Oryzias latipes: one gene and its partners. The protein of the gene in region 2 purifies or fractionates together with the protein of the main gene of each other region. This does not show direct contact. Links are inferred from orthologs where the notes say so. Each region holds a gene or a part of one and is shown on either strand. Other genes may lie near its edges. The genes, in order: rfc5, ATPase family AAA domain-containing protein 5 and wdr48.

Region 1 (3,994 bases), on a different chromosome or scaffold from region 2:
CACCTTCCCGTACGCCATGCTGGTGCTCTGAAAGGACACGAAAAGTCTTTCCTCTCTGCTGGAGAACATCCCGGCAGGAGGAGTGAGGAGGTCCCACCTGCAGGACGTTCAGCGACCTCCTCATGTCGCCGGACGATAAAGTCACGATGGCCTTCATCCCATCCTCGGTGATGTCGATGCTACCAGACAAGATTCAGCTCATTAAAGGCCAAAAGGAAGTTTAAAGAGGAAAATTATTATGATCAGCGCTATGCATTTAAAGCTTATTTTTACAGATAAATCCTGTACTAGACGTCTGCATCTCATGGACGGATCACAACATCTTATTGCCCTAAAACGCAGCAAAAACATGGCACTAGCTTGAGCGGGAGGCGCACAAACACAGTTTGGTAAAGTCTGAAGGATATTTGGACTTCTAGGTTTCAAAATTCTTTTAATTAACATTTGAAACTGACAGCAAGTGTCTCTATTGGTTTGTCTTAACGTAAACGATGACCTTTAAAGAAAAATGCGATGTGTTTTTCAAATACGGAGAATTAAAGAGAGAAACGGCAGTGAAAAGAGCTGCTAAGGGACCGTCTACAAAAAGAAAGCTCTGTGAAAAAGTGATCAGAAGATAATAAACTCTCAAAAACAACACAAATACATAAATGGTTCTGTTTATATAAGTTAAGTCATAAATACTCATCATATTCATGCCTTTTAAAAAAATGGGTATTTCTTTTTCCCAAAGTAAAAAAAAAAAAATCACATCTGATCCAAAAAGCTCTGAAGAGCCAAAGCTACAGTCACCAAACTTTCTCACATGACTAATTATCAACTATTTTTACCAGTTAATAGTTTGTTATTTTTTCTAGTTGATGGTTGCACTATTTGTACTTAATTGTTCACAGAGGTGCTCTTTTTCTGACAAAATAAAGGGGGAATAGAATAAAAACGGGAAAACCTGCATTTGTTTATTCAACTTTTAAAATGTGTTATAAAAGTATTGGAGCGAGACTCGGGTATCAGCATAAAAAAACGTGAAATCGGATCAAAAAAAGAAAAAAAGAAAACTGAGAGATTCTTAATGAAAAGCTTAAAAAGCGATGAATGCGAATGGCAGAAACGAGAATGTAAAGTTTTTCATTCCATTTATAGTCCTAATTTTTCAAAAATCCTTTGAAAGCATCTTTTCATGTCAACATCACAGTCGTTTTTAATGCTTCTGACAGACTCAGAAAGTGAGAGACTTCAGAGGCCGAAAGCGGTCCCGGTTTTCCTCACCTCTCCTCCTGAATGACGTGCCTCAGCCGGGGGATCATCTGGTCCGCCGACAGAGGCCCGAAGCGGAACCTGGTGCACCGGGACTGCAGGGCGGGGATGATCTTGGAAAGGTAGTTGCAGATGAGGCAGAACCGGGTGTTTTCTGTGAACTTCTCAATCACTGAGGCGTACGGGAGACAGCAGGAAGTTTACAAAAATAAAAAGACAGACTGTTACCTGCCAAAACGTTAGTTCAATGGGATAAAGTTACTTAAAATCGTCTTATTTTGAAAATCTGCAAACATCTTAATTCGTTTATGAGATCGTTGACGATAACCTACTTTCAACACCTATGAAAAAAAAAATTTTAATCAACAAAATCAATGCAAAGGATTATTTTAGAAAACGGTTGTGTTTTCATGCAGACCCATGCATCATCAGCCAAATGATTTGGCTGCCCAGTGAGCCGTGTCGCTCACAGCAAGCCATACTTAGGCGAACAGATGGCTCACCTCGCCGCAATGCATTCTGGGCATCCTGGGTCATGGCATCGGCCTCGTCCAGGATCACCAGCTTGAAGCCTTTCCTGGGGATCAAAGGGAGGAAAAAGGAGTTTGGAGTTGTCTGGAGGGAATCTCTGCAGAAGGTCACAGAGAGCTGGAGCGGTACCGACTCACTTGAAGATGGTTCTGGTGCTGGCAAAACTCAGGATGGGACCTCGGACCACATCGATACCCCTGTCGTCTGAAGCATTCAGCTTGAACAGAAGAGAATCAGAATCAGGACCCTTGGAGATGAGAAAATCCCTGCAGACTAAAGATCCTGAGTGGAGACGGTACCTCCAGCACCATGGAGTTGAACTCCTTGTCCTTGTACAGTTGCCGGGCACAGGCCAGAATGGTGGAGGTCTTTCCGGTTCCAGGAGGCCCGTAGAGCAGGAGGTGAGGAAGCCGGTCCTCTCTGACGAACCTCTGGACTGAAGAGACATGGAGACCTTCAGAACTCTGGACACCACAGAGTCGATTTGCTTCCTTAAATGAACAAACTTACTGGTGCTCAGGATGTCTCTGTGTGAAATTAAATCATCGAGTTTTTGTGGTCTATATTTTTCTACCCTGAAATGCAAAACAAACACTTTTAGCACAAAAACAAAGACGTTGTTTAGTAGAATATTTCTTTTTTTCCCTTCTTTTTAAGAAGTGTGTAGGCCTTTAAAAAGCTGAACAAACTTAAAAGAAAACAAAACAAAAAAAAAAAGCACAGCCTCTGACTGGAGACAAACAAGAACTTGAAGGAGCAGCTAGCTTAGTCTTAGACAACAACGACATTCTCGCCGCTTCTCAAACGTCTCGTTCGTCGCGGCTCACCATGGCAGGTTTCTGCTCTGTAACGGGGTCCTACTCGTAGACGCCATGACTCCCGGTAACTTTATTTATTAGCCGGGCAAGTAGAGGAAAAACCCCGTCTGTTCTATGTCGCTTCCTTTTGCCGCGCTCGCGACAGAAACGCACGCCAACGTCATGACGTAACACCAACAGAATGTCGTTTTGCTTTCCGGTGGGTGGGATCATGGTGATATGTTGAAGGTAAACTGTAAAAAAAACCACAATATCAATTGAAGAATTTTAATATTTTCTAAAGTAAAGCTTAAAATTGTTTTTTGTTTATTTTATAAACATTTTTGAGTTGATTATCTTGTAAAATAGAAATCTCTGTGTTAGTTTGATATTTATCCGTAGGCGAAAACATTTTTGACCGATTTTCTTGAACATTTCAGAACGAAAATTAATGTGCTGTGGAAATCAGACTAATTTTAAAGATTTGTATAAGACTTTAAAGCATTTAACAGGAAAAAAACAATATTTAATCCCCTGATGTACATACATTTCTATCTAACTTGTGCAATAAGTATTTCGTAAAATAGGTAAATTAAATTAATAGAAAAATACACAAGTTTCTTAATCTGTTTGGTTTTTAATACGTTTCATTTAGAATATACGCTTTAGACGTTAACTATTTAGCTACCTAACCAGGCGACAACCAAAAACAATAAATAAATAAGTAAAACATGCCCCCCCCCCCCCCATTATTTAATAACTTGGGTGAGTACACACAATAAATGTTTTAAAAAATGTTTTCAAATTTTGTTTAACCTTTTAGTTTAACAGGCACTTCGTTTGCATTTTAGTAAGATTGCTGAATTATGTTTAATTTGATGAAATATCACCCTGAAAAATAAAGATCATTTGTCGCAGATGATGCGTTTCTCGTCCAGCAGACGAGAACCCACTTGAGCGCGCCGTGATCACGCGAGAGCGGCCCCTTACGGCGGCGCTGCGATGCTGTTGCTGTGGCTTTGATTGACGGGAAACATGTCGGTGTGGTGGGAGCGAACCGGGATGCAGCTGCTGCCAAGGGAGACAGGGAGTACCTGCATCCAATCCGCACATCAGCACCTTTAAAACCGCCAGGTTCTACCCGATCCGGCTGTTTAGGATGCGCTGAGCAGCAAATTTGGTTCCTTTCCCCCCCTTTTTTTTCTCCCCCCCCCCCCCTTCCTCAGCATCCATTAGAACGGAAAGGACGCCCGATGGATGCTGTAGCAGACCGCTCAGCCCCGCTCCGCATCCTCACATTGAGTTTGGTCTAGTTTACATCCTTGATCATCCAGCTGGAGCTGCGAGGACTGTTGTTGCAATGGAGGCGACCCTCTCACGGCTCAAAGCCAGAGTCTAAGCCTGCAGCATCT
Region 2 (3,954 bases):
TGAACAGAAAAAAAAATGCCCAAAAGCACCTTTACTTAAGGACAGTTTAAATGGATGCATCACCTGATTGGACTTTGCTTGGTATCTGGTGAGCTTATGATCTCTGCCACAAACACACAGTACTTGGACTTGCGTGTCTTGGAAGGCACCAGCTTTAGAGGGCTTTCCTGTGATATGGAAGGAGTCACGGCCTCATTAGACGCCTGTTGTCTCCTTGTTTTTCTGACAGGAGTCGTTGGCGTGCTCTGAGACGTTTGTCGAATGACGGCCTCTCGTTTGGATCTCCTCGTGACTGGCACAGGTGGAGCAGCTGCGGCGTCTGTCACATCTGGACCTGCAGGCAAAGTATTGGCCGCCTCGTTTTTCTCTGTAGCTTCAATCCTTCCCTTTTTCGGCCGTTTCTTTGTGGCTTCTTTCTTCTCTCGTTGGGTTTCCTCGACCGTAGGCTGCATGATCAGATCCTCACCATCAGCCGTTTTGCCTGCAGCATTCGGCGTTTTCTCTGCGGCTTCTTTCTGTTTACCTTGGCTCCTGACAGGTTTACTTTTGGGCCCATCCACGCCGGGCTGCTTGAAAGCTGCCATGAACTGTTTTCTCTCCGCTTCACTGCACTTTGGAGCGGATTCGCTTTCAAGCACAGAGAGCTCGAGATCTTCCTCCTGAAGAACCACGTTGGATTTCCGCTTCACGGTGGGAGAAGAAAGCTTGGGTCCTGAATCAGTGTGGGGAGATGTGCTGGTCTCTACGGGACTATTAGAGCTTCGTTTCTGGTTGAAGATTGAAGCCAGTTTTCCAACTCTTTTGACGTCTTCCCTGTCGGGTGAGATTGCGTGCACTTCTGCTTGTATGGTGACAGTTCGAGGCGAGATCTGCAGAGGAGACGCCAACAAATCTACGTGTTGTTCAGCTGTGGGGATATCCAACTGCTCAGCCTTTGTCTTCTCTTCTGACATCGTTTTAATGCCTTCATCATCGCTTTTGTTGTCTTCATTCTTGCTTTGACTGCGCAGAAACTCCTCGAATGAGATTTTGACCGTGCTGTCTTTAATACATGCGGCCTCTTCATCACTGGCCTTCAAACTAACATCACACTCTGCTTCTTTCTCTGGCTCGGAAGGATTTTGCTTCTTCTTCCTTTGTTTTTGTGAAGCTTTAGTAGATTTTGATTCATTTCTTGGAGTCAATTCAGAAGTTTGAAGTGCTGATTCAGACTTTATATCCTTTTTCTGAGGTTGATCGCTTTCTGACGAATCAACAGTAGACTGTAGATCTGCTGCAGAGTCTGTGTTTTCAGGGGCTTCTTCAACTATCATGCAGTCCACATCACCGATACTTTCAGCGGGTACGAGCTGCCTGGCACCTCTCCCACTCTTTTTACCACGTTTCTGAGACGGCGCTCTCTTTCCTTCTGACTTTCTTTGTTTTTCCTCCTCTTGAGACTCCTGACACTTTTCTAAAGACGGCTCGGGCGGGCATGTCTGTTCTTTAGACGAGGAAGCTTTTCGACAAAAATAGCTCATAATATTATTGGAGTGAGGAGGAGAAAAGGGTTTCTCCACCGGCTTAGGCACAGGAGAGAAATAGTTTGTGATTGGCTTGGCAGCAGGACCACCACTATCTTTGCGAGACTTCTTGCCAGGCTGTTGAAGGAAAGACAAAGTGATTATTTTTTTACGGTATAGATTTCAGTGGAAACAAACACAACAAAACAGCCTAAACACCACAACTGCCTATCATAGCCTTAATGCACAGGTCTCAACAATAGTTTTAGATTTATATGAAATATAACTGCATAACTTAGGGCCAAGCATGACAGAGTTCATAAAAATAATTATTTAAAATTCAAAGCAAAAACAAAATAAACAATTTGACAGATGTTAAGAACATGTGAGACAGACGTGCCTCCATGAATCAACTACATACATAAAATACATAACATGGATTCACAGGACACCCGCTGACGTATGACTAAGAGTTTATGGAAAGAAAAACCAGCTTGCTGTTGTTTCTCTACCTGGGTGTCAAAGTCCTCAATGACAGAGGCCATAGCCACAACACCAGCCATAATCTGACAGGACCTGAAGCAAAGCAAAACATAAAAACTGAATTAGAGCAAATATACACATACAAAGATACAAAAAAAAAAACTGCTGTTTTTTTATTTTTAATTTAAATCAAATCTTTTGGACGTTTTTCCCTAGTAGAAACAGGCAAGCCTTAGCCTAAAAGTGTCACTTGACTTGGACATACAGTAAAAAGGAAGCTAATGCTTAAACTTATCTGTTTAGGCAAAATTTTGGCCCATTGTTAGGTTTCATTTTTTTAGCAACCGTTTATCATGTTTCACAGAATTGTAAGGTGGGGTTTTTGGACGTTCATAAAAAATATATTTTTGAAAATATATCATCAGTAACATAATATGCCCAAAACTGAAACATTGTAAATAAATGCTAGCAATACTAGCCCATTCATTGATGTCGAATCCGCCACTTGTTTTACCTGTGAGGTTGTTTAAGCTTCTTTATATTGTTCTGCTCCAAGACCACTCCACCATTGTCATCGGTTTCACTGTAAAACAACAAGCTAGCAGATTTCGGCGAATAATAGTTTCATAGTTCCCGCGAAAGCTTCAAATATTTTACCGCCTTATGAGAAGCAAAAGGCCACCGTGTTCTACTCACGGTCTATAAAATAGTAAGCGCCCCAATTAGAAAAAAATATGTGTATATATATTCTCTTGACATAAACAGTCCATTCAAAAACGCGCCAGACTGACCGAGAGTGAAAAGCGCCAAATAAATGTGACCTTTGACAGGACACTCGTCCACCAATCACAAGACGGAGATCGATTTCGTCATATTGTGACGTAGTTTACCCCAAACAAAGATGGCGTGCGGACTTGCAATTTACTGATACTGAAACATTTAGAGCGCCCTCTAAAGACAACACTGTCGCAATGTTCATATGGGTTTTTCTGCTCCATCAGATTCGGAATTTTTTAAACCTCTGAATTTTTTTTTAACCCTTGATTTTCAAACAGCAAAATGTTATGCCCTGTTATTTTCTCTCTCAAATGTTTCAATATTTTTAATTTCGAGGCACAACATTTCAATGTCCTAGAAATTCGTTGTAAAAAATCGATGGAAAAAAACTTTGCTCACTAAAATAATTAGTCAATAAGAAGATACCAATAATATCCTACTGGTGGGTCATGATGAATTTAACCTTAAATATAACCTTGCTGTTCCTCCAAGAGAGCATGCCATTTTTTTTGACGCCGTTACCACTGAAATCTGTGAACTCTTTAAAAATACTGTACTTGATGCAAATATTTCCTTCATATCTCTAAGTGACACCACTATTGGAAAATCTTGTTTCAACTGTGCCCGAAAAAAATAACAAGATCATACGTGTCCTGTTTCAGCAAAATGTTTTTTCTGTTCCCTCTGCTGTTTTTTAATGGAGAAAATTTATTCCTGACTTGCCCTGGAAAAATGTTTGGACCCTGCATCAGAAATTATTAATAAATAACAACATGAGAGACGTCTCCTACAAACTCCTACATAGAATCTATCCCACTAATCAATACATGCTCAGATATAAGAAGACTATATTGACCCCAACTCTACCTTTTGTTAAGAACACCCAGAAACAATCAGTCACCTATTTTGGAACTGTAATAAAAAACTTTGGAAAGAGTGTGCACGTTTTTTAAATTACAAATTAGATTCACAATATCAGATGAAATTTGAACATATCATATTTGGCCTACACGAAAAAAACACAAGATCAAATGTAAAATTGGCAATTAATCTACTTATATTTGGTAAATTTCATATTCACAAATCAAAGTTTTCCTTATCACAACTTTTACCCCCTGTAATAATTAAAGAATTAGAATCTTATCTACATGCTATTTCTAATAGCTTAAAAAAAGCCATACATATTTATGAA
Region 3 (4,074 bases), on a different chromosome or scaffold from region 2:
ATCAACATGTGTTATTTAATGCGATAGCTTTAGTTAAAATTTTATAAAACAAAAAAAGAGACCAACAATGTCCGGATGATTTAAGTTAGTGGGGAAAAAAATGGAAGCTTGATTAAACTACTAGAACTGACAAGTAGAGCTACAATTATTTAGACAGAACTGTTGTGCTATAAAAAAAGTTACTAAAAGTGTATATTTATTTTATAAAGCCACAGTTTGGGGACATTAGACAGTTTGCTAAAAGAGTGTTTTGTTCTGTTACTTTGAGCACTGGGGCCTTCTCCTCGCAGATGAGCACACGGATGTCTGGGTTCCGCAGGTCCGTACAGTAGATCTTCTTGTCTCTGCCTCCTGAATAGACATGCGTAAAGGCCTCGTTGACCTGCAGGGCCCACACGCCTTCGTCGTGCACTCGGTACGTGGCGATACACCTCTGCTGGCCCAGAGACCAGAGGCGGATGGTCCCATCCGAGCTGCCGGACAGACACTGCCGGGGGAGCAGAGCGGGATTAAAGAGTTTGGGATTCCTGCGGCTCAGCATGATGAGGTTTTTGAAGCGCTTTGGTGAATCACCTGCGTGCCGTCTCGGTTCAGCAGCAAGGACTTGACGTTGTCCGTGTGACCTTTTAGCTTCATGAGTTTTGCACATGTCCGAGGATCCCACACTCTCAGAACCTGAAGGTTGGAGAAAGAGCTAAATTTATGTAGATAAACAAACCTTACAGTTTGATTACAATTTATAGTGCAGCTGAATTAAAGCAACAATTAACAACCAATTTGGCCTCAAACAAATAAAAAAACCAAAGCAAAATTCAAGGCAAAGAAGATATATTTAAAATGTTTGTAGTCTAATTTTGCCAAGATTACTACTATAAGGCCTAAGTGAATGAATGTGTGTGACAGATTTATTACATAGAAGAATTGTCATTGTACTGCCTCATAAAGAGCATTCAATGTTGGAACAATAGAGAGGATACCCCCCTTTAGGAGGAAAAAACTTCCAAAAACAACAACACTTAGTAGAGGCAATAGACTAGCAGGATTCTTAGGACAAAAAAACAAACAACAAAAACTCACGCTGTCAAGATTTAAAATCTTACAGATCTAACTTCAGGCTAAAGCAAGATAAAAAATATAAGAAATATGAAAACAAAGCAAAAAGAAAAAATTTTGTGCATTGGTTCACCATAGATTTTTTTTTTTTTGGAGATGTGTGTCAAACCTTTTCAGTGGATCCAGAAACAATAACTGTGCCCATCTGGTTCATTGCCAGACTGTAGATTGAGTCCTTGTTCCCGCTCAGCGATGACGCTGAAGGAACACAGAAAAGCCCAAAGGTGGATCACAAACACGTCTACCCATGAAAGCGGGCTAAACCCATCACATGACTATAGGTGTACTCACTAGTGACTGTGTTATTCGAAGCAGTGAGGGCAGTTAGCGTGTTTACGTCCCAAAGAAAGATCTGCCGATCCAGACCGGCCGATGCTACAAGCTCTTTGTCTTTGGCGTACGCCAAAGCTTTAACATAGTCCTTGTGCGTTCGTAACGTTGACATGCAAAATCCTTTATGCGCGTTCCATACTTTCACCGTTGTATCTGAAGAGGCAGATATCACTGGAGGAGAAGGAGAGGTGAGTTGCTAGAGGCTAAACACAAACTTTGGATCAAATCTGCTGTTAATACTTATAAACTCACATGTTTTCCCATTGCAGCAAAGGACTATATCGTTTACCCAATCTGTATGATGCTCCATTGATGCAATGTATGGGTCCTGCTGCAAAAAACGTAGCATCATTTAAAAGAGTATCTCTGTCGCTTTATATGCAGCTGCAAAACTCTAAAACAAAAAAATGTATATATTTAATTGAAGTCATAAACTGTACTTTGTGCTGATAGACACTCCATATCCGGATGATTGAGTCCCTCCCAGCAGTGAAGAGCCGGTTGAGTGCAGGATCTAGCTGGAGTGCATTCACCCCGTTTCGATTGTACTTCTCCACCTCGTCCCTAATAACGTAAGACACCTGTGGCACAAAGATGCGACTGCAGTCAGCCTCTCTCTTGGACCGGCGCCTGGTTCAGGCTTACAGGCAGTGTTGAACCCACAACACACCCACTTTTGGACGTGGAACACGCTTCACGCACTCGCATCACCGTAAGGGGACGAAGACGTAACCGACACAAAACCTCCCGGTATAATTAGAACACACTATGAAATTAAAGATAGCGTCCCTTGTGAAGCATAACGAATGGGCAGAAAATGGCAGATATATACGGAGACGCTTTCGTCGTACCAGCAATTAGACGCAGCCAGGACACAGTGTAGCTTAACCAGCATCATCGTAACCGTTACGTCAGATTTAGCTAAAACACACCGGCATTTACGCAAAGGGGAAAATGGCCAACTGACATGTAAAGTTTTTCGGATATGCAACTAAGGTATTTGAAGAAGCAAATTGTAAGTTAGAGGCTCCTTTTCCAACGGTGCTAACACCTTACTTAAGCTAAGCTAACAGGGTTAGCCGGCTTGCACCATGACATGAGTCATAGTTGTCACGCCGCTTCCGCAAGTGATTTTTTGCTGCCGCTTCAGCAGGTATGAGACACTTGTGCAAACCTAAAAGACAACAATTACATTGTTCCCACACACTAAGTTCTTATAAAACTCAGAAAACGTACCTGTACTTTCCTCCGCCCAGCGGCATTTTGCCTGTGATGTGTGGCCATCTTGCATGTTGACAGTCAATTCATGTGATGCTACATCCGGTAAAAAAAAAGAAAACAAGAAAACGGTTTCGACGATGTGCATTATGGGTATTGTAGTTAAATGTTTAGGGGAAAAAAGTTAAATGTTTAGTGTCCACTTAGCATGTTGTTTTTTGATTTAGTTTTGAATGTTTTTGATAATACTGGGCAAGTTTTATATTAATAAAATATTTTTTTCAAAAAATCTACCACATTGAAAATGTATTTTACAAGGAGATTTGTTTATATTTTAATTCATTCGAATTTATGAAAATCAAAAAGCAAGAAAACTTCTCACTTTTGCTGAGGACAATAAGTTATATGACAACCCAGTATTTTTTATGTGCTTTATTTTCTTATATGTCTTTATTTTGCCATCTTCTTTTGTTCAAGCATGTAACCAGTTTGTTTGTTTTTTAAGTATCAACATTTAATAAATAATACGTAGGTGTATTTTTATTTTATGTCGTTAGCATAATTCACAGTTGTTGGAAATACATTTGCGGTTTTGCAGTTTTAAAGCTTAAAATTATTTTTTTAAATAAAATGTTCAACATACATATATCTTTAAGTTGTTTCAGATATATGGTTTAATTTTTAATACGAATTTGTGATATTAGGCTAGTCAACATGATCCCTAGAGCCTCCTTTGAGCTTTGTGGGTCTTTCTGTGGTGTTTTATTTTTACTACTCTACAGTTAAAAACTTTATGATGTCTAAGTAGTGCTATAAACCTTTTGGTCTACAAAATTAAAAATACAGTGTACTCTTTTCAGCCTTCTATGTTTTAGGGTATTGCAGGATAATAGAGAATGCAATACCTATCAGTCTTTTCAATTAAGAACTTTGACTCTTTTTGTGATTAAAAAAAGAAAATACTTGTTTTTATATATAACATTATAGTCACATAACAATGTCAAATATTGATATTCTCTTGCATAAATGTAAGTGCTGTTGAACTTAAAGATATACTACATTGATATAAAAGCAAAAAAAAAAAAGATAATTGTTAAAAACAATCAATTCCCCATTTTGACAGGGGAAGTAACGCTGTGTTGTATAAAAAAAACACCAGGGAAAGACTTTCTTTTAATTCTATATTTATTTGTTACTTTTATTTCTGTAGGAGAATATTGTTTAGGGCATTTTTTTATTTTCAACGGCACCTCGTTGAAAATAGTAAATTAGTAACTTAAAAAAAGTTTTAAAAAAAGTGTGCGAATATGGTGTGCGAATATGGATATAAATGAATCCTTTGCACCCCCCCCCCCCCCCCCCCCCGTTATAAGTGTATTTGGCCTCGTCAATGGACAGGTTTAGTCTGCG

Evidence for each region.
Region 1: the proteins of ATPase family AAA domain-containing protein 5 (region 2) and rfc5 purify together in Homo sapiens (affinity purification with mass spectrometry; 4 studies listed by BioGRID and IntAct, counting the BioPlex papers as one, with this or other methods). This does not show direct contact. The link is inferred for Oryzias latipes from reciprocal best matches to the Homo sapiens genes ATAD5 and RFC5.
Region 3: the proteins of ATPase family AAA domain-containing protein 5 (region 2) and wdr48 purify together in Homo sapiens (affinity purification with western blotting; 3 studies listed by BioGRID). This does not show direct contact. The link is inferred for Oryzias latipes from reciprocal best matches to the Homo sapiens genes ATAD5 and WDR48.

The regions. Positions count from the first base shown.
Region 1 is NC_019867.2:3,442,307-3,446,300, reverse strand, and holds the start of rfc5 (replication factor C subunit 5), read right to left. Parts: upstream 2,801-3,994; 5' UTR 2,660-2,800; coding exon 2,613-2,659; intron 2,361-2,612; coding exon 2,296-2,360; intron 2,222-2,295; coding exon 2,085-2,221; intron 2,003-2,084; coding exon 1,923-2,002; intron 1,832-1,922; coding exon 1,758-1,831; intron 1,427-1,757; coding exon 1,267-1,426; intron 180-1,266; coding exon 98-179; intron 28-97; coding exon 1-27. UniProt on the Homo sapiens protein: Subunit of the replication factor C (RFC) complex which acts during elongation of primed DNA templates by DNA polymerases delta and epsilon, and is necessary for ATP-dependent loading of proliferating cell nuclear antigen (PCNA) onto primed DNA.
Region 2 is NC_019866.2:13,221,120-13,225,073, forward strand, and holds the start of ATPase family AAA domain-containing protein 5, read right to left. Parts: upstream 2,812-3,954; 5' UTR 2,500-2,811; intron 2,079-2,499; 5' UTR 2,066-2,078; coding exon 2,015-2,065; intron 1,641-2,014; coding exon 64-1,640; intron 1-63. UniProt on the Homo sapiens protein: Has an important role in DNA replication and in maintaining genome integrity during replication stress.
Region 3 is NC_019875.2:17,404,497-17,408,570, reverse strand, and holds the start of wdr48 (WD repeat-containing protein 48), read right to left. Parts: upstream 2,813-4,074; 5' UTR 2,731-2,812; coding exon 2,683-2,730; intron 2,028-2,682; coding exon 1,887-2,027; intron 1,778-1,886; coding exon 1,699-1,777; intron 1,618-1,698; coding exon 1,405-1,617; intron 1,312-1,404; coding exon 1,223-1,311; intron 676-1,222; coding exon 574-675; intron 488-573; coding exon 263-487; intron 1-262. UniProt on the Homo sapiens protein: Regulator of deubiquitinating complexes, which acts as a strong activator of USP1, USP12 and USP46. Enhances the USP1-mediated deubiquitination of FANCD2; USP1 being almost inactive by itself.